7 linked regions of the Macaca mulatta genome follow. The protein of the gene in region 7 interacts with the protein of the main gene of each other region in a pairwise test. Links are inferred from orthologs where the notes say so. Each region holds a gene or a part of one and is shown on either strand. Other genes may lie near its edges.

Region 1 (3,700 bases), on a different chromosome or scaffold from region 7:
AAAGATCAAAATATTCAATCACACAGATGGTGTTTTGAAGAGATATGGGGTGTGCTTCTCAGAATAAGCAAGGGATTGTCTATGAAGGATCTTGAAGAAACCTCTTGTCTAATCACATGAATCCCCATGACATACATAAAAGACCTATAAGTTTTTGAGAATGTTATATCAGCAGAAACAATGCCAGCTTAGACGGAAAGGGACAAATAGAGGAAGAAATGAAAGAAGGCCATAGGACTCCCAAAATTTGACAGGAGAAAGCAGGCTGATAAAACTACTCAGCTGTAAACATATGCTACCATTCAAAATAAAGGAACAATGACTGAGGGCAGAACCTAGAGGCCAGAGGGCAGATTTATGACCCCAGGTGAAGTCATAGGATCAGAGTGATCAAAGGGAGGAGTCTTAAGTCATAGAATATTCCCAGGCCTTGAAACCTAATGGTTGGATTTTGAAATTGTTTGGATTTAAGACTCTTTTGTTCTTTCTACTTTTTCCCCTATGGAATGGCAAAGTTATTGGCTGTAAATGAACCAAAGTCAAAGGGAAAACACAGAATTACTAGAAAGGAAAATTAAATAATAGAAAAGAAACATCTCTTAGTGCTTTTGCTTCACCTAGGAGAGACAAGAAATATACATCTGGGCTTAAACTGAGCACAAGATGCACTTCTCCGAGACGGGCGGATCACAAGGTCAGGAGATCGAGACCATCCTGGCGAACACGGTGAAACCCCATCTCTACTAAAAAGTACAAAAAAAAAAAAAAAACTAGCCGGGCGAGGTGGCGGGCGCCTGTAGTCCCAGCTACTCGGGAGGCTGAGGCAGGAGAATGGCGTGAACCCAGGAGGCGGAGCTTGCAGTGAGCCGAGATCTGGCCACTGCACTCCAGCCTACGCAACAGAGCGAGACTCCGTCTCAAAAAAAAAAAAAAAAAAAAAAAAAAAAAAAAAAAAAGATGCACTTCCCTATCAACTGTTTACCTGACACTGACAGGTAAACTTATTGAGCATCTTATTATTAATTGAAAAATGATTAAAATATATTTTTCAACCATTATGGAAAACAGTATGGCAATTCCTCAAGGATCTAGAACTAGAAATACCATTTGACTCAGCCATCCCATTACTGGGGATATACCCAAAGGATTATAAATCATGCTGCTATAAAGACACATACACATGTATGTTTATTGCAGCACTATTCACAATAGCAAAGACTTGGAATCAACCCAAATGTCCATCAGTGACAGACTGGATTAAGAAAATGTGGCACATATACACCATGGAATACTATGAAGCCATAAAAAAGGATGAGTTCGTGTCCTTTGTAGGCACATGGATGCAGCTGGAAACCATCATTCTCAGCAAACTATCGCAAGAACAGAAAACCAAACACTGCATGTTCTCACTCATAGGTGGGAATTGAAGAATGAGATCACTTGGACACAGGAAGGGGAACATCACACACTGGGGTCTATTGTGGGGAGGGGGGAGGGGGGCGGGATAGCATTAGGAGATATACCTAATGTAAATGACGAGTTAATGGGTGCAGCACACCAACATGGCACATGTATACATATGTAACAAACCTGCACATTGTGCACATGTACCCTAGAACTTAAAGTATAATAATAAAAAATAAAAATAAAAAAATAAATAAAATGCATTTTTCAAATAGGGTAAAATCATGACACTCATACAGATACGAAATGAACACATGCTACAAGAAAAAGATGTTATGACTGCTTCAAAAGGGAAACCAAAGAGTCGATATGGGAATATTCATCAGTAATATTAAATGATTGTGCACATGGAGGCAAAACTGGTTTCATAAGGTGAAGACAACTGAACCTCTACTAAAGAATATACTGTACACGTATCAGCCACCTACAACTAACAAAAGGCTATAAAAGACTTCACAGATAATGTAAGGCTAGAATCAGATAACCTGCAGTGGTGTCCTAAAGATAGAGCAAAGTTTTCCATTGAAACACACTTTTATTTTTATAATGTCAAAATCAGGTAAAGAGTTATAGTTCCCTCAAAATCAGGGTTCAGTCATTAGGGTGACTAGATCAGTGTCACAGACATTTCTAAGCTGAGGTCTGATCAGGGACCAGTGGACACCAGTGAAATCACAAAGCCTAGGGATGTCACAAAGGCAGCTAGCTCCCTGACCAATCAGGGCCTGGAGCAGAGGGATCCAATAGGCAGCACCAGCGTCCTCAGAGACTTACTTGAGCTGGAGAATCAAGCAGAGCTGATCAGAGCCAAACCCAGCAAATATCATGTCAGAGAAAAATAACCGTAAGAACTCCTCTGCAAATAACAACCAGATTCAAGACCGGTCTAGAAATGAGCTGCGGGTCCCTATGAGCTTCGTGGACCGAGTTGTGCAAGATGAACAAGATGCCCAAAGCCAGAGTTCCTCCACAATAAATATCCTCCTTACCCTGCTCGATTGCCTTGCTGACTACATCATGGAGCAGGTAGGCTTGGAGGCCATCAACAATGGCAGGATGCGCAACACTTCACAAGATGGGGAGAGAGAAGGGGACAACCACCATGAGCCCCACCGCACTGAGAGTGATGGAACCCGCTTTGTGTTTGATGAGATGCCCAAATCCGGAAAGAATGACTGAAGACTGGGTCCCAGAGCCTTGAGGGGATCCTCACAGGCTTAGCCAGGGCAAAAATGTGTCACAGCTGAGGAATATCTGCTGTTGTCATCAACAAGTGCTACTAAAGGATGTAAATCCATGAGTATGTTTCTGACTCCTTCCAGTTTCCGTCTTTTTGGGTTGTAGGTGTCTGTGAGACATCAAGGAGAAGCTATCCCCAGAGAGCTGAAGTTGGGGGGGGGGGCGGGAAGTGGTGGCCAGTGTGGAGTGTTTGAATCAGTGATTTAGAGGGGGCAGTTTCCAACGGTGACAGAGAGGGCACGGGCCCTGTGGGGAGGAACTGGCTGGGATAAAGACACCGAGACTTCCTAATTGCCTCTGAACAGGAAGGCCTTGTGAGGCCGGGGAGTTGGCTGGGGGCCTCTGAGGCTTGCTGAATTCCCAGCCTGATGCTGGGGCCTGGGGTGGAGCTGCAGACTCTGACTGAAGTGCAGGAGGCAGAGGGTGGTGGCCACAGGGGCGGGTGGAGAGGGGGCACACTGGCTGGCATGAAGTTCATGGGATAGGGACTTTACATGGAGATTGAGAGTGAAGGAGAAACCATGATGAAAAATGCAAAAAAGAAATGATGGCCTGCTGGATTTCATTTCTTATTTCTTTATGCCCTGACTTATTATGAAAGAGGATTTGAGACAGGGATTAGTAGCTAGTGCTGTGAATATATCTTTCTGTCCTCTCTTCAGGACACTGGTAAAATAAATCATAATAATACATAAAATTTATGATCTGGCCTAAGATGGGCAATTCAAGAAGTTCTTAATGGTTGTTAATTATTAATGAATCAGCTTAATTATATATGTATTTCATTTAAAACACAATTAACAATTTCATTTTTAAATTAAATACCTATTCATTATAATTACTATATATTGCATAGAGCACCAAAGAATTATTAGTGACTCAATACATGTTTTAAGAGGTATAGAAATAGTTCTGTCCCAAGTGACGGCCTCTAAAGCATGTGCAATCCTTTTCAAAACTTCCTGCTCTGTGCTAAGTTTAAAAGAGGTGTCACATC
Region 2 (4,853 bases), on a different chromosome or scaffold from region 7:
ACAATTCCATTTCATTCTGATGCTATCTACCTGGAGTTAGTGTGATAGAGCTGAAGGGGCTTAATGCCCAATGCAATAGAAGCCAATACTAAAACACTACGTTCTTTAAAAAAGAAAAACTTGTATATTCAAAGTCAACTCCCAAGGAGACAAGAGTCAAACTCAAACCCGTCTCTCGGTGCTGACATTAAGGCAGTATTTTTATTAGAAAAGTTTCCGGGGGTAGATTCCGAGATTAGTAGGTGATTGGTAGATGGAAATGGGAGATATGGAAAGTCCCAAAGAGTAAGAAATCAGTAACTAACAGAAATTTTTGAGTTTCGGGATAGCAGATAAGAAAAGAAATTTAAGCTGCTGAAACTCCCTCCACTTGCGAGATCTAGAAAAACCTGGCGGAAATTGGTTGGAACCAAAATGGCTGACTGGAGCTTGCACACAATAAGCTTGCTGATGTCGTAGGCTGAATTTCCACCACATGTTTTGTACTAATTCCCCCTGAATTTGCACATGCAACTCAGGAGTTAACATGAAGAAATAACTGTGCATGCCCAAGGACTTTCCAGACCTCCCTTTTCCTTGTACCAATCACCTGCTAATCTCAGAATCCACCCCCTGAACCTTTTCTAATAAAAATACTGCTTTAATGCCAGCACAGAGAGACAAATTTGAGCTTGACTCCTGCCTCCTTCAGAGGTGACTTTTAATATAAAGCTTTTCTTTTTTTCAAAAACTTGGTGTCAGTATTGGCTTCTAGCATATTGGGCAGTGAGCCCCTTTTGCTTGATAACAAACTAGAACCCCAGGTGAGACGAACAGCCTGTTCAAGGTACTGTTGCCCCTAGTGGTGTGCAGGCCCCCTGCACTGATCCTGAGTAGCCACCTAGACCAGTGCGTTCAGAGGCTCAACTATAGGGTTCCTGCTTCTCTACCATGGCACTTCAGGTTCCCTTGGCACTTTTCCTTTGGGAAAAGAAATTGCTTCTGGATTAGACATCTTTCTGGTGAGTACCTTGTTAATACATACCTGTACTTTTAATTGTCTTTGAACTCATCATAAGGACTGTGGGTTCAGGTCCCACCCTGTGGTTTAGGATTATGGATGAGAGTCCCACCCTTGTCTAGGACTGTGGGTTTGAGTCCTACCCAAGGGGGATTCTGGTCAGGTTAGAGTCCCAAATCTGGTGTATGTTCAAGTCACAAAGAATTAAGGCAATAGTAAAAAGCTGCAGCCACTGAGATAATCTAGTCTGGTTCTGATTTTTGTTGATCTGTCTGTATTTTTGGTCTGTGTATCAATGTTTGGCTTAACAAAGGTTAAAGACTGTGATGGCTCCAGCAGAAGCCTTATGAGAGCTCCAGAGTAGTTTATCCGCACACTCAATTAGAACAAAGCAACTCCATAAACTAGAAAACCTGAAGAAAAATGGCACATGGAAAAAATGTCAGTCAAACCCTCTTTCTTCTTCTGCCCCTAAAGAGTTGTCATGTAGTCTTCTAAGTTATTTGCCTGTCTTTTCTTCTTGACTACTTTGAATCTGCTGACTTTTTTACTAGTGTTGAGATAAAACTTACTGTTCATGGTATTACTAGTTTAAGGTTACTGGCTAAAGAAAAAAAAAATGAAAGAGGTCTTTTAAAATCAAAGTGCCATGGAAACTGCTTTGCTCATCAGGGCAAATAAAGTTGAGCTATGTGAACAGGTTCTAATTTTATCAGGAAAATAAGTTTGATCCAACTGTCTCGTTTACGCATATACATGCATTATGTTATGTGTTGTTTCTATATGGTATCAAATGAGCTTATAAATAAAAGAGTACTGATACATTAAATAAATAAGCCCAAAAGCTTTTCAAGTTCATGTGACTTTAATAATCTTTGGAAAATAAAACCAATTTAAAATTATTGATAAAATAAAAATAGATATGTCTTCAGAATTGTCAGCATGTGATTTTGCCTGTGTTTACTGGTCAGCTGACATGTGCATCTGCTAGTTATTTTAAGATGTCCAGGTTTGGCACAAAAGTCACGAAATTATAAACCTAGCCAAAACAGAATAATCTTTGTTTACGTGATTCTTTTGATAAATAAGACTAATATTGTTGGTTTAATGACAACAATGAAATCCTCTGATTTATCAGCAAAATATCCATGTATTTCACTTCAAAGTTCTTACTTAGGTGAACACCTGATATTCACAAGCTGTGAAATGGTTAACAAGGAAAAAACTTAAAATGATGACCAGCTTTGTCTAATATCTCTGTTCTCATAACTAATCTAGATAAACTGTTAAAAACAAATAAATTAGATAAACGTAATAAATGAAATTCTTATGTTTTTGAAAATCTTGAAGTTATCATACTTACTGAGCAGCTGGGTCACTTCCAATTAAGAAAATGTATAAGGAAATGTTTCTAAAGGTTAAAAAATGGTTTTAAAATACATAAATTATAATATTTTATCTATAAAATACTGATATATGACAGACAATTCAAGAGTTCTTACCTCCTAGGTTCTTCCCTAAAATAAGGATTACTAAGAGTTAATATTGTGACTTATATATGTAATTGAAACTACTAGATACAAGAGAAACAATTCTATATGCAAAATGTATAAGAAAAATAGGATGTGTTTTTGGTAAACACATAAGAAGACAGGAATATGGTTTTCATTTAAGGGCAAGTAATTTTGCCTAGTTTAGAGGTTCTAAAGGATTGTTTTAAATTGAAGGAATAAAAAAATTATAGATAAAACTAAATAAATATAGAAAGTTAAAGAATGAAAATATAACAAATTGGAAGAGGTTATAAAAGGTTTACGGAAATCTTATCTTGCAGTCAAAACTAACTGAGATTGAATAGATTTGTTTATAAGGTCTTATTAAAATTAGCTGTAATATTAAAAATGCACTAACACAAAACTAAAAATTTTGGTTAAAGCCACAAAATTTTTTGAAGTATTGATTTGCTCTCAATGATATTGCAAGAAATATTGACTTTAAATTCTAAAATTAAAATGTCAGATTTATATCTCAGAAGTTCAACTTTTCCTGTACCTTGTTACATATAAGTTGCAGATCACATTCATTATCTTCTGTTTTTTTCCCCTTGAAAAAAACATATCTTTTTGCTTGGCTGGTCTGATAACTCTTCTTCAACTTTTTCATGAACTCCTACAATTTTTTACCCCAGCCCTAATGCTGTTCTTATGGCATAATGCTAACATATTTATCTTAAAGTTTAGAAAAGCAATGTTTTCCTCAAATGTAATATAATCTTATACTCTTGGCTTTATGATATGTCTGAATTATTTTGTATAACCAGGAAACCGCCCATGTAACTTTCTGTTACTTACTTTTGAGGTCCTTTGACTGTCATGCTAGTTAAATGAATAACTATTATTTTAAAATGACCTGTAGTTCGTTTTGATCAAATGTTCTGAATCTTTTAACATCTTTGGTAGGATTTATCTGGTAAAGTTGTATGGGAGACATTATCAAATGCTAAATAATACTGGATCTTCTTTTGGTTATGTTTATGGGTGCGCTATTGATATAAATGTACTAAAAATTACATACGTTTATAAAAGTCTCACATGCTATGAGTCGTAATTTTGATATGTTAAATCTTTTTAAAAGTTATATTTGTGTAGATACATTATTAGTAGAAATATTCTTAAGATTATATTATTATAAAAATCAGATGGTCCTGATGTGATGCTGTCAGTCATGGTTCTGGTTGTTATCTTAAAATGCTACATATAATAGAAATAACTACATTTTCCTGACAATTGACAACTTTTATCAGGTTTTAGCCATGGCTAAGTTTTTGTAATCCACAGTTATTGTTTTGAATTCTTCTCTAAAAAGCTTTCCAATCAGCTACAACCCAAATTACTTTTCATGCAAAGGACTCTGATCAGTACTCTTAAACACAGATTTCTGATAACTTTGGAGATAATGCCATCAGACTAGGAAAAGTCTTCCAGGGCTCTGATTAAAAAGTTGCATGAGAATTGCTAACCCAACATCAAACAGAACAAGAATTAGCTACATGGGACTGAACTGATAGAGGAATAAAAAGATCTTTTATGACATTTTTATTTGAAACATTGATGATCTCTTATGTTTTGTTTTCCTGAGTCAAGAAAACATTTTCCTTTTGAACCGTTTTTAACTTACAACACATTAGATAAAATATACCTTTGTGAACAAAACTTTGAGGCATTTACCTTTCTCTCTGCTCTCTCCAGAACTTGGAAGCTGTTTGTGAGTATTCTCAGTTTATGGCAATATATTATTTGCATTAGTTTTCAATAAAAAACTATTTTCTTTGGTAATAGAACACAATTGGAGACACTGGTTATTTTACTAAGGCTTTGACTGGAATGACATGTTTTTAGGTATGACCAGAATGGAGGTTAACTTTAGAGCACCAATAAAAAAAGCCTCTTAAAAAGACTGGCCTGGTAGCTGGTCTGTAAGGTTCCTTTACAAAGTTTCTGTCCTCGCAGTAAGTAAAAAATGTCACTTTCTGATAGGTCCAGCAACCTATTTTGGGACCCTGAGAAAAGAGGAATAACACATCCATTCATCTAGGTATTACAGGCACAATCTGACGGCAAATCCTTGGGTTGACTGATCTCAAGGCTTTTAAAAGTCAGAAATTCCTTATTTTAAAAGGTCCAGCAAAGCCCATTCGAAAACAAAAGCCTATATGGTGAATCATTATTCTTGCTGTACTTTATGCAAATAATCAGGTCAGGTATAATGAGACTAGAACTTATTTTACATACAAATTGATCCTACAGTGATTTGTCTTTGGTAAAAACGGGGGACTGGAGAGAGAGAAATTATG
Region 3 (4,614 bases), on a different chromosome or scaffold from region 7:
ACACAGGCCGGTCTGTTGTGTAATGCCACATGGTATTAGTGGCTGAGCTAGGACAGGGACAGGCAAGAGTGTCCACCCCAGCCTCAGAGCCTCTCACCCTTGGCTAAAATTGGTATATGGCTCTTAGTACTAACCGGGACCTTGCAGGCCGGATGGAGGCCCACGGTCTCTCTAGGGCGTATCCTGAGCCCTGACTCAGTCAGGAGAAAGTTGTCCCCAACATGTCCCGAAGGGACACCCCCTGACTCACTGCAACCACTTCCTGCCACTTCTTTCTCTGTTTTCCTTGGAAATCTCCATGCCAACCACTTGCCCCACCCAGGTTTTGGCCGGGGTGGGGCTCAGGGCCAGAGAGGCTGCAGGAGCCTCCCCCAGGTCATGAAGGACAGTGTGTCACCTGCTGCTCAGACGGTTCCCTGCTCCTCTTGAGGCATCCAGGCCACGCCTGAGACCCCTCCAGTTCCAGGGCCAGTGTCTGACGGGAGCCTTTAGGGGGGTACCTTCTCTATTTCTAGGCCCAGAGTTGAGCTTCTGACCCCCACCCTTCCACTGTCGGGACAGGGCAGTGCCTGAGCCCCCACCATCATGCTTAGCACCCTTATGTTCAGCACTGCCCCTGCTGGGCTGCTCTTAGCCAGCCTTTGTGGGATGCGTGATAAGCTCAAAGCAATGAAGTGAGCTGGCTGTCTGGGTGTGGCTGTGAGGTCACAACACTTAAGTCCCCTCTCGAGGGTCAGGGTCCACAGCTCCAATAAAGCTCAATAAGTTAGCAGCAGACAGGTCTTGAACCCAGGTGTCTGCCTCCCAGCCCAGGGCCGGCTCCCACACTAGGCTGCTCCTCTTTCTCTCCCATTTGCAACACGCCCAGCCCAAGTATTGGGGTGACTATAAAAAATGAAGGCCAGGGAGGGAATGGGGCACAGGAGTCGGGTGTGGCCTCTGATCCAGATGGCACAGAAGGGGCCCGCCCTCCCGCCTCTGGCTCGGATGCACATACTAGAGTGTGAAGCCTCTGCCAGCATGTGCAGAGGTTCTGCCCTGTGAGATGGGAGGGACGATATGGGGTCAGAAAGTCTAGGAATCACATCCCCTCCCCTACAGGGACGCTTCCCCAGCCCAGCATACCCAGCCAAGCTTCAGTGTGAGCTTGACCCTACCCAGTGGAACTCCCCGAGGCCACAAGCTCTGCCCCCACTGGAAACTGAGGCCTGGGGGCAGAGCTTGACATGGCCTGCCTGAACTCTGTCCCGTACATACCCCGCAGCCACGTCTAAACTGGCTAAAGTCTAAACTCCAGCCCATGGAGGTAATCTTCAATCTTGGGCCAAGCAGAGGTTGGCTGCAGAGGAGGCTGGGTGAGGTGTCACCGTGACACAAAAGCGCTAAGCCCCCCGTGGCTGGGCTGAGCCAGCTGCCCTCTGCACCAGACCTTCACCTAGCCTCCCCCAGGCTGTCAGCTGCAGGATCTGAACTTTGACTGAGAAGCGAGAGGACAGCTGCTGTAATCACTACTGCCATCTCTGAGGCGCCCTCCGAGATGACCCACACAGTCCCCACACCCACCTGCCCTGCCTACAGCCCTGCCAGCCTCATCTCTCCAGACAAGTCCTCCTCTCTGCTCCTTAACCTCTCCCTCCCTGTGAGGGCACCCCAAAGCCTGCTCACCTGTCCCTTGGGCCCTCAGACATCCTCCAAGCCTTCCTCAGTCTCTCAGGCCAAATCTCCCCCTGCTGTTGCCCAAGCCCAGCCTGAGTTTGCACTTGTCTGAGGAGCTGGGAAAGGCCAGGTCTGGGACAGCAGGCGGCTGCCACCAGCGGCCACTTTGCCATGCTAAGCAGCCCAGGAGACATTCTTTTCCACAGCTGCCACCCAGTCACCAGCATCTGCTTGTCATTAGTGACCCCAGTCCAGACCCCATTCAAGCCGGGAGCCATGGGCACGTGTGGTTGCAAACTCACCCCCACACACCCTAACACAGCAGCACAAACATGCACACAGTTTACACAAGCACAGAGACTCATGCTGGCAGACGCATGCACACATACACACCTTCACACACACACACGCACACGTACATGCACACACGCACATGCGCGCACACCCACCCACACACACACACACGCCACACCTCTCAGTGCCTGGAGACCATGGAGCCCAGCACTTGCCCCCCAGCCCATACTGTAATCCAGGAAAACTGCCTTCAAACAGCCCCAGAAAGAGTTTTCACTGCCTTATCTTTGTCTAATTCCCAGGGGCGGAAGAGTGGAAGACGGCCTTTCTCTGGATTCCTAGAGGTGGTTTGTTTGGAAACCTGTGTGAACATGGGGGGCTCCCTGAGGGAGTCCTGTTCACACACCTGCAGAACCAGCTGCAGACAGGCTGGGCATCTGGTTCAGGGTGGCTGGGGAAAGCGGGCGAAGTTTCCCCAGGGTGCAGGGCTGGGGGAGGAGGGAGTTGGTGGCACAGGCAGGACTGAGAAGGGCCAAAAAGCTACAGCCAAGGGGCGAGGAGCTGCTGGCCAAGCTTATTCCCCATAATAGATGCCCTGCAGGGGACATTGGCAAGACCATTATTCTCTTGATCTCAGCTTCCCACAGTGCCTGGCAGAAAACAGGCTCTGGGAGGCATGCATAACTGAGTTCCAGCCCCAGCTCTCCCCCCCGGCTCTCTATGTGACCTCCAGCAACCTCTTGTCCTCTCCATTCCTCAGTGTCCGCATCTGCACGATGGGCAGAGGATGGAACTGGTGCCTTTCAGCATCATTCTAGAACCCCCCAAGCTCGGGGACACCCCACTCACATCATTGCGGCCGAGCGAGTTCCCAGGCAGGGAGGAGGTGATGCCCGAGAGGATGGCGGCGGCGACGATGGCCCCCACGCACTGGGCGATGATGTACATGAGGGCACGGAAGATGCTGATCTGGCAGCTGAGCAGCAGCCCCAGCGTGACAGCCGGGTTGAGGTGGGCGCCACTGATGTGACCCACGCTCTGTGCCAGCGTGGCGATGCTCAGTCCGAAGGCCAGCGACACCTTCACATTGTCCTGGACCACCGTCTGGTTGTTCCCCACCGGGTATTTGAAGCCCAGGGCAGAGCCAATGCTGATGAAGACAAAGAGGGTCGTGGCCAGGAACTCGGCCACCACTGCCCTCCAGAAGAGCTTCTTCTTGAACTCGCTGGCCATGCTGGCAGGGGGCTTGGCCTGAGACCGCTGCCGGGTGCTCAACTCCCTCTGAGAGCTGAGCCACAGCCTGGGCTGGGCCTATTTATAGGGCCGGGGGGCGGGGGGAGCACAAAGGGAGGAAGGCCTCTCTTCACTCCTGGCCCGCCCCACACCGCACGGACCTCCTCTGGATGGATGCAGACACGGCTCTGCTGTCCGCCTGCCAACTTTTTCCTTCCTCCTCTCCCCCTCCCTCTCTCTCTCCCTCCGCCCTCAGCCCTGCCCAGCCCAAGGAGGCAGGCAGGAGGCAGCCGTCGCTCTAATAGGCTTTGGGAAATTCTTCCAAGCTGGCCCCACTCACGGGACCAGAGAAATCCAGGTGTCTCCGCCCTGTGTGCAAAGCTCAGGGGGTTCCTGAGGACACAGCCAGGTGCTCCAGAGTGGGCGGGGTGGGCGGGGTGGGCGGGCTGGACTCAGTGGGTGGACGTTGCCCTCCCTGGAGGCAGGCACCATGATCCTGCTGGCCTGACATCCCCATCCCAATCCAGAGAGGCACTGGTCTGGAGTCCCTGGGCCCAGGGCTCCAGAGGGGCAGTCAGGGCCTCCCACACGGCCACTGCATGCCATGTTAGGGATGTCCCAGAGTCCCCAGTCTCCCCGAGCCAGGCCTCTGTGGATGGGGCACGGAGGCATCAGAAGGTGCAGAGAGGTTGTCTGTGGCTGCCCTCCACGCTGTGGTTGGGGACAGGCCTGAGCTAGGCAGAGCTGTTAGAAAGCCGCTACCCTGGGAGCTCCCAAACTTCTCCAGAGCAATTTGAACCAATGATTTGTGGGCAGGTTGGTGAAGATGGGACAGTTTAGGACTTTCCTCTCAAGGCAGTCACACTGGTGGGTCACTGGGAAGGTGGAAGGAACGGCAGCCCCACCTGGCATTGGAAGGTGATGGAGAGGAGGGAGGGAGGGAGCAGGAGAGAAAGGGAGAGACAGAGATGCAGGCTGAGGGGAGGAGAAGAGACAGACAAGGAGAAAGGAAAGACAGTAGCCAGGAAATAGAGCAAAAGTGGAAGCGAAAGAGACAGACCCCCAACCAGAGACAGTGAGACAAGCAGGGCCAAGAGAGACAGAGAGAGCGCAGAGGGCTAGGAAAAGACAAACCGAAACAGGGAGATAGGACTGGACCCAGAGCCAAGAAGTAGAAAGGGAGAGATAAATGAGGAGAAGGAGAGACCAGTAGGGGCCAGACGAGCCCCTGCAAAGGGAGGGGCCGAGGCCCTGCTACGGACCCCCGCGGGCCCCCTGCGCCCTGGGCATCTCCAATCCAGAGGCCCAGCGCCAGCCAACAAACAAAAAGAATCCGGACTCTGGGGCCAGCAAGCTGTCAGGAATCCCTGGGCCTGGCCCACTTGCCTGCTGCATGGAACGTGCTGGAAGAGCCAGGCCCAGGAGGGAGGG
Region 4 (4,927 bases), on a different chromosome or scaffold from region 7:
CTGGGATTACAGGCATGAGCCACCGCGCCCGGCCCAAAGTTGCATTTTTGCAGTTACCTGATTAACTGTTGGCAAGGAATCTGGTATCTATAAGACCCTGTGGTTCAGTACTGAGACGGACTATAGATCTCTGCCAGTTCATTTGCTGTGTCTCAGCTAATATTTCTATTCCAAATGACTTGTCTTGCTTAGGGCCCATCTTGGGGCCGGGGGTACACAGCTTCAGGTAGAAGGCTAAGTATTGAAAATTTAGGCCAGGCACAGTGGCTCACGCCTTTAATCCCAGCACTTTGGGAGGCCAAGGCAGGCCAATCACTTGAGGCCAGGAGTTCAACAGCAGCCTGGCCAACATGGCAAAACCCTGTCTCTACTAAAAATACAAAAATTAGCCAGGTGTGGTGGTGCACGTCTGTAATCCCAGCTACTTGGAAGGCTGAGGTGGGAGAATTGCTTGAACCCGGGAGGTGGAGGTTGCAGTGAGCCGAGATTGGGCCAGTACACTCCAGCCTGGGTGACAGAGTGAGACTGTCTCAATAAAAAAGTTTAGTACCACACAGGGAGTCACTCTTCCCACCAAGGCTAGGGATAGAGAACAGAGACTTAGCCAAGCATGGACTCCATAAGCCCTTTTTGTAACATAAGTATACTAAATGCCACGGAAACCAAATACATTTATTAAATCTACTCTTAGCCAAGCAATAAAGATGTCTACATAGAGTTCACAACCTGCAACACTTAACCAGGGAATGCTAGGTAAAGGCAACTTCAGTTTAACTGAGTACTCTATTTCAAGTGGGTAACATGTCCGCTGGTTGGCAGCTATCCAGCTTGGAAAACTGTAGAAGATGCTGTTGCTACCCAGATTGTTCTGTTCAACAAGTGGGCCCGAAGCCTGAGCAGTGTAGCCTGCTGTGTGGTGAGCAGAGGGTCACTCCATTGCTTCTGCAGCCTCCTCACCTGACTCTTCCTCCTCCTCTAGTAAGCAGCTTCTTGTCACAGACTTCTGGATAGCTTCCCGCTCTCCTGGAGAAGGCAGATAGGGATGAAAGATGTCTTTGGGAGTGATTTCTTCAGCTCGAGGTCAGTCACTGCTCAGCGGGCACTGGGCTAGTATTGCTTACCTTCATCAGTGCAGTTCTGCAACAAGATCAACAGCTGTCTCCTGTTGTACTGAATTAGGAACTTCTGACATGTTCTTATTGTACCTGGCATGTGAGTTACTGCGGTCAACAGCTTGTGAAAGGTCTCGACCTTACTTTCAGAGGTAGGGGAAGTGTCTTGTTAGCGGGACAGCAGGAAGACCCACCCACCAGTCTAGACTGAACTCTGAACATGTCACCTATTGAAAATCAGTAGCCGTATCACGTCACTCCTACCTCCCACATGTAACGTGTTGAAAAAGCATGGGTAACGGTGTCCTTTGTTCTCCAGGTATGTGATGAAGGGAAGAGCTGACCACACAAGCTGATAGAACTCTTTTCTGCATCGAAGTAGCACTATTCCAGTATAGGCATTGAGGTATCGAACTACAACAGGGAAAAAAAAATCATTTCGGAAAATTTTGCTGTGTGTGGTGGCTCACACCTGTAATCCCAGCACTTTGGGAGGCTGAGGCGGGCAGATCACTTTACGTCAGGAGTTCGAGGCCAGCCTGGCCAACATGATGAAAACCCGTCTCTACTAAAAATACAAAAATTAGCCGGGCGTGGTGGTGCACGCATGTAATTCCAGCCACTCAGGAGACTGAGTCATGAGAATCGCCTGAACCCAGGAGGTGGGGGCAGCAGTGACCTGTGATCTCCCTGCTGCACTCCAGCAGCCTGGGCAACAGAAGACTGTCTCAAAAAAAAAAAAAAAAACAAAAAAACTTTAGAGTAACAGAGCACAAGTGGCACGTAGGATCTTTCAGCGAGTAAAAGAGAAAAGCCAAAACACCCACTGTGTTGCACACCACTCAGAACTGGTGAATGAATTTAGAATCTAACATGCTTTCTAATTCACTAGTTAATTCAATAAATAGGAGCAGGTAGGAGGGCGATCCATTTTAATTTAGGAAAAACCCTCGCCTGAAAAATAGGCTGTTTTACTGCAGTTGGGCTCTGTAATTCTTGTAGCAGTCAGCTGAGTCTCACCTGACTTAAGGATGAGTTAAGCCTATCTGCATTTAACTCTCCAGAAGTCAATCCTCAAGCAAGGTAAAAGGGGGAACTAATATAAATGGTGTGGAAGAAGGGCCCCGGGCCCCTCTTTGTCCCGGCTCATCCTGTATTCACATATATTGACGATCATGTGTTCTGTACTTTACCAACTAAGGGCATTCCCAAGGATACTTTCGACAATTTTTTTCCATGTGATGTTAATGTAATCGGTCATAATAGCTCTTACTAGGAACTAGATACAGCTTCCCTCATTTAATTCTCTATCCTATCAAATTCAATCACAACCAATTACAGAAATTACCTGTCAAGCAGGCAAAAAGAGGCCTCTAGCTCAAAGACCCACTGCCTTCGGGCCCCTCCTTTTAGCTCTCTGCTAATTTCGGACTCGTGTGGATCTCTCGCTTGCGGTCCCCGGCGCTTAAAGAGATACCTTACAAAAAACGATGCACGGGCTTGGCCACTCGTGCCCCTTCTTTCTTCCTCCGGCGCCTGCCCCCTCCACGTCCCGCCATCCTCCCGGGTTCCCCTCTTCCCCCAACGCTCTCGCACCCGCGAAGCCGATGGAGCAGGCGGCTGCGCCGAAAGTCCCGTGCACCCTGGCGATAGTGTCCCGTACGAGGCTGCTCAGAACTCGGTCATCGAGGCTTAGGCGGCAGCGGGGGTCGTCAGACACCAATTCGCAGAGCAGGTACCTGCGGCAGGCGAGAGGAAGGTGGGCGCTAGCGGCGCCGCGGGGACCTGGCAAGGCGCTGGGTGGGTCTGGAAGGGAATGCTTACCTGTGCTTGAACCGCACCATAGCTGCCTCCGCGCCGTCGGGATCGCTGTGCAAACCGGATGTGGGTTCCGTCCGCGGCCCGTGGGAAGCTTACTTCCGCAGCCTTTCAGCCATTCAGAGAAGGAGACAGGACATGCGGGCGGAGCTAGAAAGTTGAGAGGCCGAACTCTGTGTCAGTCTCCCTCAAGCCCCACCTAACTCTGCGTTTGTAAGCGCGCATGCGTCCTGCGGAGGGTCTCTGACTAGTTTGAGGGCTGAACTTCGGCTTGGAGCGGCTGGGAGCGGTTTGGAGCGGCTTGCAGCTGCGATGGGTGGTTTTGCTGCACACCGGAGTTTACAATACTGTGTAGGATGCAACCGCTGCCCTTGGGGCCCTGGGAACCTTGCAGCACAGGTATGTATGCGAGTACATTCTCTCCCCAAGGTGAACCGTGGAGTTTTTGAGGGCAAGACCCTGCACTTCACAGCCCAGGGATTGACAAACGGGAAATCGGACTCTTATTTTCAGGTTTGAGCTCAGTTTAATTCTTCCATGCAGCTAAATGTGCTATTGCTGTTTGGGCCTTTCAAAAATCTTAGGGAGGCGAGTGTGCTGTCTCATTTTTTGTTCGCAGAAACAATACGTGGTCATTGTATTTTCCATTTCTGTTTTCCTTTCCTTTTTATTTTTTTTTTTTTAACAGAAAAGCACAAAGAAGCAAATAAATTATAATCCCAGCACTGAGAGAGAATAACTGTTGTCGTGTAGTGTGTTTTCTTCTGTCATTTTCCCCCTGGGCCAGCGGTTCTCAAAGTGTCGTCTGGGGACCCCTGAGATTTCCTAAACTCACTCGGTTTAGGAGTCCCCGAAGCCAAAATTACTTTCATAATAATACTAAGATGTTACTTGTCTTTTTCATTCTCTCAGAGTGAACAGTCAAGTTTTCCAGAGGCTGCTTGACGTGATGATATCACTGCTCTAACAGCTAATGGAATTGTGTATTTTTTTTAAACATTTCTCAACTTTAATGTCCATAGTAAATATAACCCACAAAACTAAAAGCTCTTGGGGATCCTCAGTAACGTGTGTAAAGGGGTCCTGAGACAGAGAAAACAGTTTGAGAACTATGCCCTCTGTTAAATTATGTTTTTTCTTTTATTTTCTTTTTAAGTATTTTTTTAAAAAAGTCTTATGTGGTATTACATAAAATACATATTCTTTTTTTTTTTTTTTTTTTTTTTGAGACGGAGTCTCGCTCTGTCACCCAGGCTGGACTGCAGTGGCCGGATCTCAGCTCACTGCAAGCTCCGCCTCCCGGGTTTACGCCATTCTCCTGCCTCAGCCTCCCGAGTAGCTGGGACTACAGGCGCCCGCCACCTCGCCCGGCTAAGTTTTTGTATTTTTAGTAGAGACGGGGTTTCACTGTGTTAGCCAGGATGGTCTCGATCTCCTGACTTCGTGATCCGCCCGTCTCGGCCTCCCAAAGTGCTGGGATTACAGGCTTGAGCCACCGCGCCCGGCCAAAATACATATTCTTAAGTGTACATCTCAATGAATTTTTACATATGCGTAGACTTCTATAACCACCTCCAAGATTAAAGAGCACTTCCAGTATCCCAGAAGGTTCCCTGATCCCTCTTCCAGTCAAACTCCCTTACTGCCACTATTACCATTTCTACCCTGCTAGATTAGTTTTGCCTGTTCTTAAATTTTATATAAATGTCCTCCAGCATGTTTTCTTTTGTGTTTGCCTTCTTTTGCTCAACATGATTGTAAGATTGATTCCTGTTGTTTTGGCTCTATTTTCTTTTTTCTTTTTTTGTTTTTAAGACAGAGTCTTGCTCTTGTTGCCCAGGCTGGAGTGAAATGGCACGATTTCGGCTCGCTGCAACCTCCGTCTCCTGAGTTCAAGCGATTCTCCTGCCTCAGCCTCCCGAGTAGCTGGGGTTACAGGCACCCGCCACCACGACCAGCTAATTTTTGTATTTATTTATTTACTTTCGAGACGGAGT
Region 5 (4,172 bases), on a different chromosome or scaffold from region 7:
AGCAGCTTGTTTGGTTTGAGGGGAGTTGGTTTGGTTCTTATCCCTCAGCACTGAGACATAGAGGCTTCCTGGGCCACTATAGTGAGACACGAACTTCAAGAATCTGAATACCCCCGTTTTCTCTCCCCACCAAGGCAGAAAAGGATTTAGTATTACCTGTGGAGAAGGAGTTGCAGGACTACCAGGCCCTGCTGCTTTGCATTTACAGCCCTCCCCAGATAGACACAAGCACTCTCATCATACCCAAACTGGACTTACCTGCAAGGCTCCTTCCCTTCCCCATCCAAAAAAATGGAGTTATTTTCCCTTATTTCAGCAAGTCCAGTTGATTTTACCTTTGAAGTAGCACCTGAATCCTTCACCTTCTCTCCATCCCTTCTCTCTCACCTGACATAAGTCCCCAGTGCTCCTCCAGTAGGCAGGACAGCCATTCCTTGGGGATGCACATGTCTAGTCTTTGCCTAGATATAGCAAGTCTTTGCCTACTGAGCTAGGCTGTCATGTTCTTAGAAGCATTGTTTTTGCCCATTCTTCCCATTTACAAGAGAATCAGGGACACAGAAGTGAGGGCTTCCAACCCCATAGGTGATCAATCCTGGGGTCAGAGATTTGAGTGTGTTTATTGCTTGGCTTCTTGGGAGCAGATTCCATCCATAAACCATGTACTTACCAAAGTCTGACTCACTGGGAGAGAAACGAGGTGAGCTTGGAAAGATGACCTTCCAGAGACTTGGGGCCCATGTTGTGTGGTACACATGGGAGTCCAGCATATCAGATTGAGATGGGGGGCTGGGCAAAGTGCCCTGGTCTTTGGCTGTGGGGCCACCCTGAGAAAAGGAGCTCCTGACAAGCTGACGGCTCCCACCATCTTTGCTGCAGCATATCGACAAAGTCTTCAAACACAAGGACCTACAACAGCAGCTGGTGGATGCCAAGCTCCAGCAGGCCCAGGAGATGCTAAAGGAGGCAGAAGAGCGGCACCAACGGGAGAAGGATTTTGTGAGGCTTAGGCCCAAGGGTTGGGATGGGGGTGTGGGAGGAGGCAGGTTGGGCTGTGGCTCAGTTCATAGCCGGGTTATATGGGAGAAGTTGTCTGGCCAGACCAGGCACAGATTCCTTGAGTATCAGTCTGAGAGCAGGAAACCTTGGTGGGTTTGGTGCTTGTGGCTAAAAACCAAACATAGCCCCTGGGGGCTTCTGACAGGATCTGGGGTTCTGTCTTGGAAATAGCTCCTGAAAGAGGCAGTAGAGTCCCAGAGGATGTGTGAGCTGATGAAGCAGCAAGAGACCCACCTGAAGCAACAGGTGAGAGCATATAACCTGACCCTGTGCCTTCAAGGTCCCCTCACTGGGCCCCATCCTGGGGGTAGTGAAATGGGACCCTCATTCTAGGACTGGCTGTGTCCTGGCTGCTATGAGACCTTGGTTGAGCCTTTGTTCTCTCTGGACCTGCACAGTACCTATATGGTGGTGACCAGGTAGTTAGGTGGGCTCAGAGGATTTCATTTGTAGCTCAGAAATGTTGTATTGCTTTTGAGGAGGTGGGAACAAAAGAGTTTGAAAATCAACATAAAGGCAAAATAAAAGTCACCCTAAGTCTCCTACTTTCCAGGCTTAGCATTTTGGATTATATCCTTCCAAATACATAGCTTTGCTTTGTTTTAAGGAAAAATAGTATCTCAATAGAATTACTGGGTCAGAGGGTCAAGGACAGGTCTGAGTGTGTTGACCAGAGTGCCTCCCAGAGAAACCCAATCTTATCTGTGGGCTGCTTTCTCCCCCAGCTTGCCTTATACACAGAGAAGTTTGAGGAGTTCCAGAACACACTTTCCAAAAGCAGCGAGGTGTTCACCACATTCAAGCAGGAGATGGAAAAGGTAACTGTGGTCCAGGCCACGCATGGCTCCTGGAGCATAAGCTGCTTCATTCAAAATGGTTGGGCCTGCCTTCAGGAAGCTCCCATCTGGGGTGTCTCAAGGGTGGGGCTGTTAGGAGAGTTCACAGCCTTTCCCCTCTCGAGGCAGTATCAGTGGTGTGTATACCCTCCAGGTTGTCCCGGGGAATGGGGCAGCCATTTCTTTTGTTTGTTTGTTTGTTTTGAGATGGAGTCTCGCCCTGTTTCACTGGCTGGAGTGCAGTGGCACGATCTCAGCTCATTGCAGCCTTTGTGCCCCGTGTTAAAGTGATTCTCCTGCCTCAGCCTCCTGAGTAGCTGGAATTACAGGCACGTGCCACCATGCCTGGCCTTTTTTTTTTTTTTTTTTTTTTTTTTTTTTGGTATTTTTAGTAGAGACAGGGTTTCACCATGTTGGCCAGGGTGGTCTTGAACTCTTGGCCTCAAGTGATCCACCCACCCTGGCCTCCCAAAGTGCTGGGATTCTGGCCCCTTACCATTTCTTGTTGTTAGTGGTGGACACTTGTGACTTCTGGTGGTAAGGTGGCACAGAGGGCATTGACTGCACCCTGTAATCAGTCAGTCCCCACCTTGGAGACACAGGTGCACAGAGAGGCCGGCTCTGACCATTTCCTTCTGTCTGTCACATAACCTAGATGACTAAGAAGATCAAGAAGCTGGAGAAAGAAACCACGATGTACCGGTCCCGGTGGGAGAGCAGCAACAAGGCCCTCCTTGAGATGGCTGAGGAGGTGGGCTGTCTGTGATCTGCAGCCAGGGTGGGGGTGTGCACTTAGCGCATATCAGGCCCTTTCCTGTGTGTTCTACCCATCAGTGACACAGCTAGCATGAGGTAGAGGTGAGATTTGCACACATTGTCCAAGTCCAAAGTTAATGCTGTTCTCTCCCCATGGGAGATGGTGAGCCCAGTGGTAGGTCTCCAGTGGGAGTGAAGGGAGCAAATGGAAGAAAGGAATAAAAGAGCAGAAAAAACAGGGGTGCCAGTGATGTGCCTGGTTTACATGTAAAGCAGCCCAGGTAATTTGTGATTTCATGGCTTCTAATGTAGAAGAAAGGAACTAACACTGATGGAGCAGCAACGACAAGCCAGACCTTGCTGAATGTTTTTGGGTTTGTCTTTTTTTTTTTTTGCTGCTGAATGTTTTTAGGTACGTGGTTCATTGAACCTTCTCTTGAGATCCGAGGATGGTATTAGTAGTCCTGTTTTACAGATGAGACAGGCTCAAAAGCCAAGTCCTTTGCCAAGGTCATGTGGTAGATAAATGGAGGAATATGTTATGTCCAAGCCGAGCCCCTTTTCTGCACCACACTGCCCCACCTGACAGTCTAGTCATGGCTTCAACCAGGACTGTTTCCTAGAGGGGGCCAGCTTCGGACTCAGTCTGCTCCCAGCCTTGTTAAAAGTGTTTGTCACCAAGTAGTGATGGTAAGTGGGAGGTTGATGGGGCATGGCACTGAAGGTCTCATTTCTCTCCCTAGAAAACAGTCCGGGATAAAGAACTGGAGGGCCTGCAGGTAAAAATCCAACGGCTGGAGAAGCTGTGCCGGGCGCTGCAGACAGAGCGCAATGACCTGAACAAGAGGGTACAGGACCTGAGTGCTGGTGGCCAGGGCTCCCTCACTGACAGTGGCCCTGAAAGGAGGCCAGAGGGGCCTGGGGCTCAAGCACCCAGCTCCCCCAGGGTCACAGAAGCACCTTGCTACCCAGGAGCACCGAGCACAGAAGCATCAGGCCAGACTGGGCCTCAAGAGCCCACCTCTGCCAGAGCCTAGAGAGCCTGGTGCTGGGGCATGCTGGGAAGGGAGCAGCAGCCCAGCCAGGCCTGGCCCATAAAAAGCTCCCATGCTGAGCAGCCCATTGCTGAAGCCAGGATGTTCTGACCTGGCTGGCATCTGACACTTGCAATTTTGGATTTTGTGGGTCAGTTTTACGTACATATGGCATATTGCAAGGCCTAATGCATTTATACCTATAAGTGTACAGTGGGCTTGCATTGGGGATAGGGGTGTGTACAGATGAAGTCAGTGGCTCCTCTGTCAGCTGAAGAGTCTTGAGAGGGGCTGTCATCTGTAGCTGCCATCACAGTGAGTTGGCAGGACAAGTGACTTGAGCATTTCTCTGCCTGACTTGAGGCTCAGACCCCTCCTTGCCCTTCAGAGCTCAAGACAAGTGATACACCCAGGTCTTGACTGCATTTCTCTTGTGAGTAGGGCTTGCTTGGGCAGCTCAGGCCCTCCGAGCTGCTCTGGAGGCTCC
Region 6 (4,172 bases), on a different chromosome or scaffold from region 7:
AAGAGATAAAGGCTTCACTGCAGCTAAAAATGTTAATCATACCAAATAAACATTTAAGAACAGATGAAATGCCAAAAAAGGACAGTGAAGGGAAAGAAGATTATAAAAACAAATGAGAAATGGTCATCTCTAGGGGTCACTTTGAAATCAAATAGTTATAAGTTCCTGGAAGAAAATCTCTTCAGAATGTTCCCCTATAGTAGAAGCAGCCTGTACAGCCCAGGCTCCATTCAGGGTTGGGAGAATAAGAAGGGGTCAGCCAGGTGTGGTGACTCACACCTGTAATCCCAGCACTTTGGGAGGCCGAGGTGGGCAGATCACCTGAGGTCAGGAATTCGAGACCAGCCTGGCCAACATGGCAAAACCCCATGTCTACTAAAAATACTAAAATTTAGCCAGGCGTGGTGGCATGTGCCTGTAATCCCAGCTACTCAGGAGGCTGAGGCACAAGAACTGCTTGAGCCCGGGAAGTGGGGGTTGCAGTGAGCCAAGATCGCAGCACTGCACTCCAGCCTGGGTGACAGAGTAAGACTCTCTCAAAAAAAAAAAAAAAAAAAAAAAAAAAAAGAAGGGGTGAGCAACTTCATTACCTCAATGAAGTATTCTGAACAAATAATACATTGGAGCTCATTCTCTAGCACATCATTCATGTGGCTGAGAACTTCTTCCTTCTGTGCTTGCACCTTCTCCTTCTCTTCCTGCAAGACACACAATCCTACCTGTCATTCAGATAACCAACAAAAATGCAAAAGGGGACAGGGAGCAGGGTTAATTATTTAGAAGAGGATTCAGTCTTAATGAATGATTCATTCTGGTATAGCAACATTAAGAACACTTTCCCTAAGGGTTATTGTTAATAATTGTTTTCTAATGCAGAGCACTAACCTTCTTTCTTTCCTCTCCCTACTTGCTATGGTGTGAATGTTTGTGCTTCCTCCCAAATTCCCATGTTGACACTTATTTTCAAATGTGATGGTATTAAGAGGTGGGGCCTTTGGGAGGTGACTAGGTCATGAGGGCTCCATGCTCATAAATCGGGTTAGTGGCCTTTATAAAAGGGGCCCAAGGAGAGCTCATGTGCCCCTTCTACCATGTAGGGACACAGCAAGACTCTATCTATGAAACAGAAGATAGCCCTCACCAGACACCAAATATGCCAGTATCTTGATCTTGGATTTCCCAACCTCCAGTACTGTGAGAAATAAATTTCTGTTGTTTGTAAGCTATGCAGTTTATGGGTCTTTTTTGTAGTAGCCTGAATGGACTAAAACACCACTTTTTCAGTATTTGCATTGCAGTTTCTGTCTCCTTCCCCAAAATTAGTCAAATGAGAAAAATGCAGGTGGTATACTAACCACACCAACCACCCAAGACCAGATGGGACATTAAGTAGTTTATAGCAAGCCGTAGTTCGGACGTTACATAAGATCATCCCAAATAATGAAAAACTCACTGGACAAGAAAAGACGCATGAATAGTCCAGAGAGGCAGGAAACTTGAATTAGTTATAAAGTTAAAGTGTTCTTTGCAGCTGCCTTTTCTATAAAGTAAGGCACACCTCTGGAGGCAGAAGGCTGGAGAAAGGCCTCTTGAATTACCTTCAGGCTCCATGCTCTATGATACCTGCCACTTCCCACGCCTGCAGAGGCCTGCAGTACCATCTCCTCGGCTTTCCCCAAGAGGTCAGACTGCGGGTGAACACGCTTTTTAAGGAGGATCCTAGGTATGCTCTCTTGAAGCAGACATTTATTTTAGCACTTCACCCCCAAAACAGAAAGCATTAAGAGCCCCTGAGGGGGACAGGATAGGCCATTTGAGGTATATTTGAGTGGCCGGCTCATTTTTCATCTTTTTGTTTTCTTTTCCACTCAAAGCAGACTGGCAGACTGCTCAGGGCAGTGAAGAAAGTCTGGACCCCCTTAACTATAGTCAAATTCCCTGAGAACTTAGGAATCACTGGGTTTAAAAAGATGTGGTAGTTTCTTGGAGGTTGAAGAGGAAGGTATTATGTGATTTAAACAGGAAATCAAACCAACTAAAGTCCCTCCTTCAGCTCTAGGTCTGTACATGGAGGGGGTGGGATGAGAGATGCAGTCAGACTCAGGTATTAATGTCAGGTCAGAGGTTGCAAATTGGTGGCCTGTGGACTGGATCCACCCTGCAGACTTGTTTAATTTGGCCTTCACATTAAAGAAAACACACACAAAAAGCTGAAGTTGTTGCCAATATTTAAACTTTGGGATATTTCACTTAAACATTTGGACTTTCATCTGCTGTGGAAAAATCAGAAGATCTGACAACACTGGGCCTGCACTTCTGGACGGCAACAATTGGCTGAGCAGAGAAGAGTTGCCTCCTGGGATGGGGGTGTGGGCAAATACCCCATCCAATGAACCATAGCCCACACAGCTCCCTACTGTGTTCTCACATTCAGGCCACTTCACTCACTTAGATTACCAGTCTGGCCCTGGTGGGCATTTAAGTTTATAACCCCTAATTCAAGAGTTCTCCTGATTTGACACAGGAAGGAATTGCATTAAGTAATTCACTTTACTTTATGTAATTCAAATTACATAGTTCAGGAGGAACTATTTCTTGACTACAATATTCCTCAGTCTGTATCAGTGACACACCCTGAAGGAGTACCCACCATAGACAAAGGACTAGAATGCAGGATGCAAGTGCCTTATTCCTAGCATTTTGCTTCTGAACAAGGGAAGGAAATAGATGTTGTCTGACAGGCAGAATCTTCTATAGACCTCTATAATCTTATAGATTATTTCCCCAGAGGCAAGGAGCAGCCATGATTTCTCTCTTCATTCTCCATAGCAACCCTTACACTGTTGAAAATGCTGAGTTGCATGCACTAACCAAATTCTAAACTTCCATCTTCTTTCCAGTACCTTGGTCTGCTCTAATTCTTTGTTCTTGGCTTGAATGATTGCTTCAAAGTCCTTCTTGCTGCGATTTAGCTCTTCCATTAGAGCCCAATGCTGCAAAAACATAGCAGATACATACTCAGGATGAACTACAATGCATCCTTCCTTTTAGCCACAAACATGCCTGTTCTCTTCCTCTAGTTAGTGACTTTGGTTCAGGGATCGATAAAATGGCAATTTCAAAATAATACCTTTATTCCATTGGGCTATGTTACCCACCTGCTGCTTTTTTCAGAGGAGAGGGCAGTTAGGGAAGGAGGCCACCAAATGTACTGGGGCCTCTAAAACTAACCCATCATTGGTGGACATCCATGTCAACTGAAGAACTTTCATGCGTCCCAGAGTCTGCTTCTATAGGTTTGGCTTGGAGCCCAGAAATGTGCTTTTTTTTTTTTTTTTAAGCCACCCAAGTGATTCTGGGAACAGTATTTAAGAACTAGTAAGTAATTACAAGCTATTCAGAACTGGAAGCTGCTTTTATGAAATAATCAGGAGGAAATGGGAATCAGCGGAATTAAATAGTCATTTTTATTGAAATAAAAAAGATCTTTAACCTATTTATTCTACAAATCACACACTACATGCTCATAAGATAATGCTGCCTGAACCCTGCCAGTGTCTTCTGGAAGAAGGCACACCCAGGAACTAACAGCTCATTCACTGTGGCTAAATGCCTATGCTGAATGTCAAGAGGTTCCACATACATGAAACATAATTTATGAGCACTCCCATGCTTAAGTATAGCTTATACTTTAGAATCTCACCTCAAATTCTTTTAAAAAAGAAGCTGGAGTAAAGGTAAGTATTTTTGAAAAGATATTATTCAAGAACCAAATTTTAAAATGTGTGATCTCATGACAAAAAAAAAAAAGCAGTTATATCAGAAGGCCTGGGTCTTCAACTTGACTCACTAATTCGAGATGTGCATTTTAACCTTCTCATCTATAAAATGGGAAAATACGGCCGGGCATGGTGGCTCATAATACCTGTAATCCCAGCACTTTGGGAGGCTATGCTGAGTGGATCACTTGAGCTCAGGAGTTTGAGACCAGCCTGGGCAACATTGTGAAACTCCATCTCTACCAAAAACACAAAAAATTTGTCGGGAATGCTGGCACGTGCCTATGGTTCCAGTTACTCAGGAGGCTGCAGTGGGAGGATCACTTGAGCCCAGGAGGTGGAGACTGTAGTGAGCTGAGATTGCACTGCTGCACTCCAGCCTGGGTGACAGAA
Region 7 (4,172 bases):
ACAGGAGGATTGCTTGAGCCCAGGAGTTCAAGACCAGCCTGAGCAACATAGCAAGACCTCGTTTTACTAAAAACAATAAATAAATAAATAAAAATTATCCAGGTGTAGAGGCACGTGCCTGTAGTCCCAGCCACTCAGGAGGCTGAGGCAGGAGGATCACTTTAGGCCAAAGAGTTAATGTCTAGGAGACTGCAGTAAGCTATGATTGCACCACTGCACTCCAGCCTGAGCAACAGAGTAAGACCACCCTTATCTCAAAAAAAACCTAGCCATGTGTTTTCTAAATAGGTTAAAGGTATATTCTATAATCATGTCATTAAAAAAAAATAGGCCTGAGCATGCAAAATCAAACTTGCAAAAGGCAATGTTTTGCAAATCACAAGCATTCAATATTTTTTCAGTGAATAAATATTTAAACTCCACTATATGCAAATACTGGTGATAAAAGCACAGATACACTTTCTGTGTGCTAGACAGGCAGACCATAAGATAAAGTTTTTGCTCTCAAGGATCTTATACTCAAGTGTTAACATTTGTTGAATAGATATATGAATGGATAAATAAAACAGGCAACATTTTACCAAATCTGAAATCTGCAGTCTATAATAAATTTAGTTGCCTTAAATAGCATCTCAAATAATTATATTTAATAACCTAATCACTGAAATTGTTCTTTGTGCAATGATATTGATATGTGTTCCAAATATGCAGTGGTTAAGAAAAAACTTCAGATCAGTTGCCTGGATTCAAATTTGATCTACCATTCAATAACTGTGTGACCTTTGTCATAGTTACTTAATTTTGTGTACTTCAGTTTCCTCAACTGTAAAATATAAAAATAGTACTTATCTTGCATGGTTACTTCAGGAATTAAATGAGTTAATATAGTAGTTAGAATAGTGCCAGGCACACTGTTAGTGCTAGAATATATATTGTTATTTTATTGTTACACATATAGTAAAGCTGAAAGATTTTATGTTAACGATCCAGATATTAAAAATTTAACTTGATGAATTCTCAATTGGACAAAACATCTCTTCTATGGATATGATTTAATCATAGACACGGCACAAAATTTAGATCTGTCTTTTAAAAAAATGTAAGAATCAAAAAAAACAAAGCTGTCACTGCAAAACAGAAATCTTATCCTTGCTGCTCAGTCACACTGAGCAAAATATCATTAGCCTAGTAAAGTTATGTGACCAGGAAAAGACCTGTTCTAATATCAGATCTTTCCCATTTTATCATTATCAGTGAACCATTCACATGGAAGAGGTTTGCAATACTTTATAGGTTACTGACAAATGTGTTTTCTTCTCTTACATATTATTATTTACATATGAGAAAGCTACTACCTACCTAAGCTTAAATTTAAAAACTTGGAGGTCAATTTTAAAATTCTAGAACACTTGATTATTCTAGAATGATTAAAACAGTAAAATATCTCTAAACAGTTTCAATTTTGTACACTGAAATTTATTTACCCACTGTGTTATGTAAAATAAGTAGGCTGGCTTCATAAGCAATTCTTGGCTTTAGTAGTCTATAGGTTCATTATTTTCTTTGTTCTAGGAGCTTTGCAATTTCTAAACAATGAAGCTTAAGAATATTAAAATTACCAAATACCTATAACAATCATTTTTCTGAAAACTCATCATACCAATTCTCATAATGTTTACAAACTTACGAGGATTCAGAAGGTCCATGTTGCTACAAGAAGCGCAGTCTTCATTAATTTCATTAAACTCTACATATTCATCATTCTGGAATAACACAGTTAAATATTCAGAATGAAATAAAAAGAAAAACCCTCTCATTTTATATTCTTACTACTGAGCATAAAATATAAAGGTAGCATGATAAATGTTTAAATATTTTTAATTTTGTATTAAAGCAATGCATATACTGTATATTCCTACATATAAGAAATGTTTTAAATATGGAAGCAGATAGCAAGCTTCTTGAATCTATCAACTTCACTTTTTAGGAAGGAAAGACAGACCAGAAATCGAAATCCTGAGTAAAAGAAACAAATTTCTCAGATTTGATAAGGCAATGATAAATTTGGTAACTATTCTATGAAATTCACAATGATTGAAGTAAATGAGTGAAAAAAAGACAGGAAGAGTTATCAATATCTTCTGTATCTTTTCCACCCTACGAAAATAGGTCATTTGTACTATTAAAAGATACAAAATAATTCTAAGCTTTTCATAATATCTATCATACTCTTACCTCATTTTAAGTTCTTCAAGCATCATTAACATCTGTAAAAGCTCAACTTACAAGTTTTTCAGATCATCTTATTCAATGAAGAGAGAAACAACAGCCACAACACCATTCAGGCTATATTTAAACAGGACTTCATTCTAACTAGACATTTTCTCATTATTCAAATATTCTCATATTTAGCATTTCCAAAAAAATACACATACAACAATCAAAAAATTACTTTGTTATATCTGAGATATTTTATAAATGTTAAAAGAAGAAAATACCTTTTTAGACAAAAGCATTTCTGTTTCAAGAAGAGTGACACGACTGAGCAGATTAGTCCAGGTGTTTTCATCTACCATCACATTTCCTTTCATTTTTTGTTCTAAACAGTCTAACCTTTTCTCTATCAAAGTCAGCTCCTTAAGCTTTTCTTGGCATTCAGCAAGCATAGTCTGTAGTGCAGTAATCTCAGGATTAACATTTATATCCTAAAAAGATTAGAGAGATTAAAAATAAAATTAAACAAACTAAAATTTCTTTAAAATTGATGTTTCCCACTTCCACAGTGTTATCTCAATAGTTAGGAGAGACGGTCCTGCTTGAGAGTTAAAAGGTTTATCTCTGGAGGGAGACTACTTGGCCACTTAAACTAGTCCTGAGACTTATGATCTTGATGCCTCCATTTCCTCATTAAAAAAAAAAAAGAGAGAGAGATAAAAGAAGTATCTACTTCATATGATTCTTCTGATAATGAGTTAATTTGCATGATTCTTTTGATACCAGCTAGTAAAATAAAACTATTATTAACTAGCTTCTTGAAACAACACCTAGCACAAAGCTAAGAGGAAATGACTAAAAACAACACTTAGTGCACTGAGATTATTGGGTTTGCCATGTAACAGGAAGTACGTCCAATGGCCATCTGGTAGTTTTTGTAAGTGCCAACTGTATATTGATATACTGAGATATATAGAAGTCACAAAACATAGAAACATAGAAAAAGAAGTTTTAGCAGAAACAATAGACATCAGACATATTGGTGTCTGTGGCAATTAAGAGTAATAGAAATGTTTATTATTATTATTATTATTATTATTATTATTATTACACTTTAAGTTCTAGGGTACCTGTGCACAATGTGAAGGTTTGTTACATATGTATCCATGTGTCATGTTGGTGTGCTGTACTCATTAACTCCTCATTTACATTAAGTATATCTCCTAATGCTATCCCTCCCCGCTACCCCCACCCCATGACAGGCCCCGGTGTGTGATGTTCCCCTTCCTGTGTCCAAGTGTTCTCATTGTTCAATTCCCACCTATGAGTGAGAACATTCGGTGTTCGGTTTTTGTCCTGCTGATAGTTTGCTGAGAATGATGATTTCCAGCTTCATCCATGTCCCTACAAAGAACATGAGCTCATCTTTTTTTATGGCTGTATAGTATTTCATGGTGTATATGTGCCACATTTTCTTAATCCAGTCTGTCACTGATGGACATTTGGGTTGGTTCCAAGTCTTTGCTATTGTGAATAGTGCCAAAATAAACATATGTGAGCATGCGTCTTTATAGTAGCATGATTTATAATCCTTTGGGTATTTACCCAGTAACGGCATGGCTGGGTCAAATGGTATTTCTAGTACTAGATCCTTGAGGAATCGCCACACTGTCTTTCACAATGGTTGAACTAGTTTACAGTCCCACCAACAATGTAAAAGAGTTCCTATTTCTCCACATCCTCTCCAGCACCTGTTGTTTCCTGACTTTTTAATGACTGCCATCCTAACTGGTGTGAGATGGTATCTCATTGTGGTTTTGATTTGCATTTCTCTGATGGCCAGTGATGATGAGCATTTTTTCATGTGTCTGTTAGCTGCATAAATGGGTTCTTTTGAGAAGTGTCTGTTCATATCCTTTGCCCACTTTCTGATGGGGTTGTTTGATGTTTTCTTGTAA

Evidence for each region.
Region 1: the proteins of CEP44 (region 7) and H2AP interact in binary tests that used the Homo sapiens proteins (3 or more experiments, as listed by UniProt). The two-hybrid records come from large-scale screens. The link is inferred for Macaca mulatta from reciprocal best matches to the Homo sapiens genes CEP44 and H2AP.
Region 2: the proteins of CEP44 (region 7) and CBY2 interact in binary tests that used the Homo sapiens proteins (3 or more experiments, as listed by UniProt). The two-hybrid records come from large-scale screens. The link is inferred for Macaca mulatta from reciprocal best matches to the Homo sapiens genes CEP44 and CBY2.
Region 3: the proteins of CEP44 (region 7) and AQP1 interact in binary tests that used the Homo sapiens proteins (3 or more experiments, as listed by UniProt). The link is inferred for Macaca mulatta from reciprocal best matches to the Homo sapiens genes CEP44 and AQP1.
Region 4: the proteins of CEP44 (region 7) and POP5 interact in binary tests that used the Homo sapiens proteins (3 or more experiments, as listed by UniProt). The two-hybrid records come from large-scale screens. The link is inferred for Macaca mulatta from reciprocal best matches to the Homo sapiens genes CEP44 and POP5.
Region 5: the proteins of CEP44 (region 7) and TXLNA interact in binary tests that used the Homo sapiens proteins (3 or more experiments, as listed by UniProt). The two-hybrid records come from large-scale screens. The link is inferred for Macaca mulatta from reciprocal best matches to the Homo sapiens genes CEP44 and TXLNA.
Region 6: the proteins of CEP44 (region 7) and RNF8 interact in binary tests that used the Homo sapiens proteins (3 or more experiments, as listed by UniProt). The two-hybrid records come from large-scale screens. The link is inferred for Macaca mulatta from reciprocal best matches to the Homo sapiens genes CEP44 and RNF8.

What each region holds. Positions count from the first base shown.
Region 1 is NC_133426.1:37,817,579-37,821,278, forward strand, and holds H2AP (huntingtin-interacting protein M), read left to right. Parts: upstream 1-1,518; 5' UTR 1,519-2,289; coding exon 2,290-2,643; 3' UTR 2,644-2,822; downstream 2,823-3,700.
Region 2 is NC_133422.1:24,969,732-24,974,584, reverse strand, and holds the start of CBY2 (protein chibby homolog 2), read right to left. Parts: upstream 3,164-4,853; coding exon 3,053-3,163; intron 1-3,052.
Region 3 is NC_133408.1:97,463,915-97,468,528, forward strand, and holds the start of AQP1 (aquaporin-1), read right to left. Parts: upstream 3,241-4,614; 5' UTR 3,184-3,240; coding exon 2,800-3,183; intron 1-2,799. UniProt on the Homo sapiens protein: Forms a water channel that facilitates the transport of water across cell membranes, playing a crucial role in water homeostasis in various tissues.
Region 4 is NC_133416.1:127,902,842-127,907,768, forward strand, and holds POP5 (ribonuclease P/MRP protein subunit POP5), read right to left. Parts: upstream 2,977-4,927; 5' UTR 2,957-2,976; coding exon 2,937-2,956; intron 2,852-2,936; coding exon 2,709-2,851; coding exon of another isoform or gene 2,590-2,708; intron 1,527-2,589; coding exon 1,377-1,526; intron 1,252-1,376; coding exon of another isoform or gene 1,206-1,251; coding exon 1,122-1,205; intron 1,024-1,121; coding exon 929-1,023; 3' UTR 657-928; downstream 1-656. UniProt on the Homo sapiens protein: Component of ribonuclease P, a protein complex that generates mature tRNA molecules by cleaving their 5'-ends. Also a component of the MRP ribonuclease complex, which cleaves pre-rRNA sequences.
Region 5 is NC_133406.1:208,688,416-208,692,587, reverse strand, and holds part of TXLNA (alpha-taxilin), read left to right. Parts: intron 1-879; coding exon 880-999; intron 1,000-1,230; coding exon 1,231-1,305; intron 1,306-1,784; coding exon 1,785-1,877; intron 1,878-2,550; coding exon 2,551-2,646; intron 2,647-3,394; coding exon 3,395-3,688; 3' UTR 3,689-4,172. UniProt on the Homo sapiens protein: May be involved in intracellular vesicle traffic and potentially in calcium-dependent exocytosis in neuroendocrine cells.
Region 6 is NC_133409.1:144,860,968-144,865,139, forward strand, and holds part of RNF8 (E3 ubiquitin-protein ligase RNF8), read right to left. Parts: intron 2,994-4,172; coding exon 2,904-2,993; exon of another isoform or gene 2,872-2,903; intron 699-2,871; coding exon 591-698; intron 1-590. UniProt on the Homo sapiens protein: E3 ubiquitin-protein ligase that plays a key role in DNA damage signaling via 2 distinct roles: by mediating the 'Lys-63'-linked ubiquitination of histones H2A and H2AX and promoting the recruitment of DNA repair proteins at double-strand breaks (DSBs) sites, and by catalyzing 'Lys-48'-linked ubiquitination to remove target proteins from DNA damage sites.
Region 7 is NC_133410.1:182,747,238-182,751,409, reverse strand, and holds part of CEP44 (centrosomal protein of 44 kDa), read right to left. Parts: intron 2,706-4,172; coding exon 2,499-2,705; intron 1,764-2,498; coding exon 1,688-1,763; intron 1-1,687. UniProt on the Homo sapiens protein: Centriole-enriched microtubule-binding protein involved in centriole biogenesis. In collaboration with CEP295 and POC1B, is required for the centriole-to-centrosome conversion by ensuring the formation of bona fide centriole wall.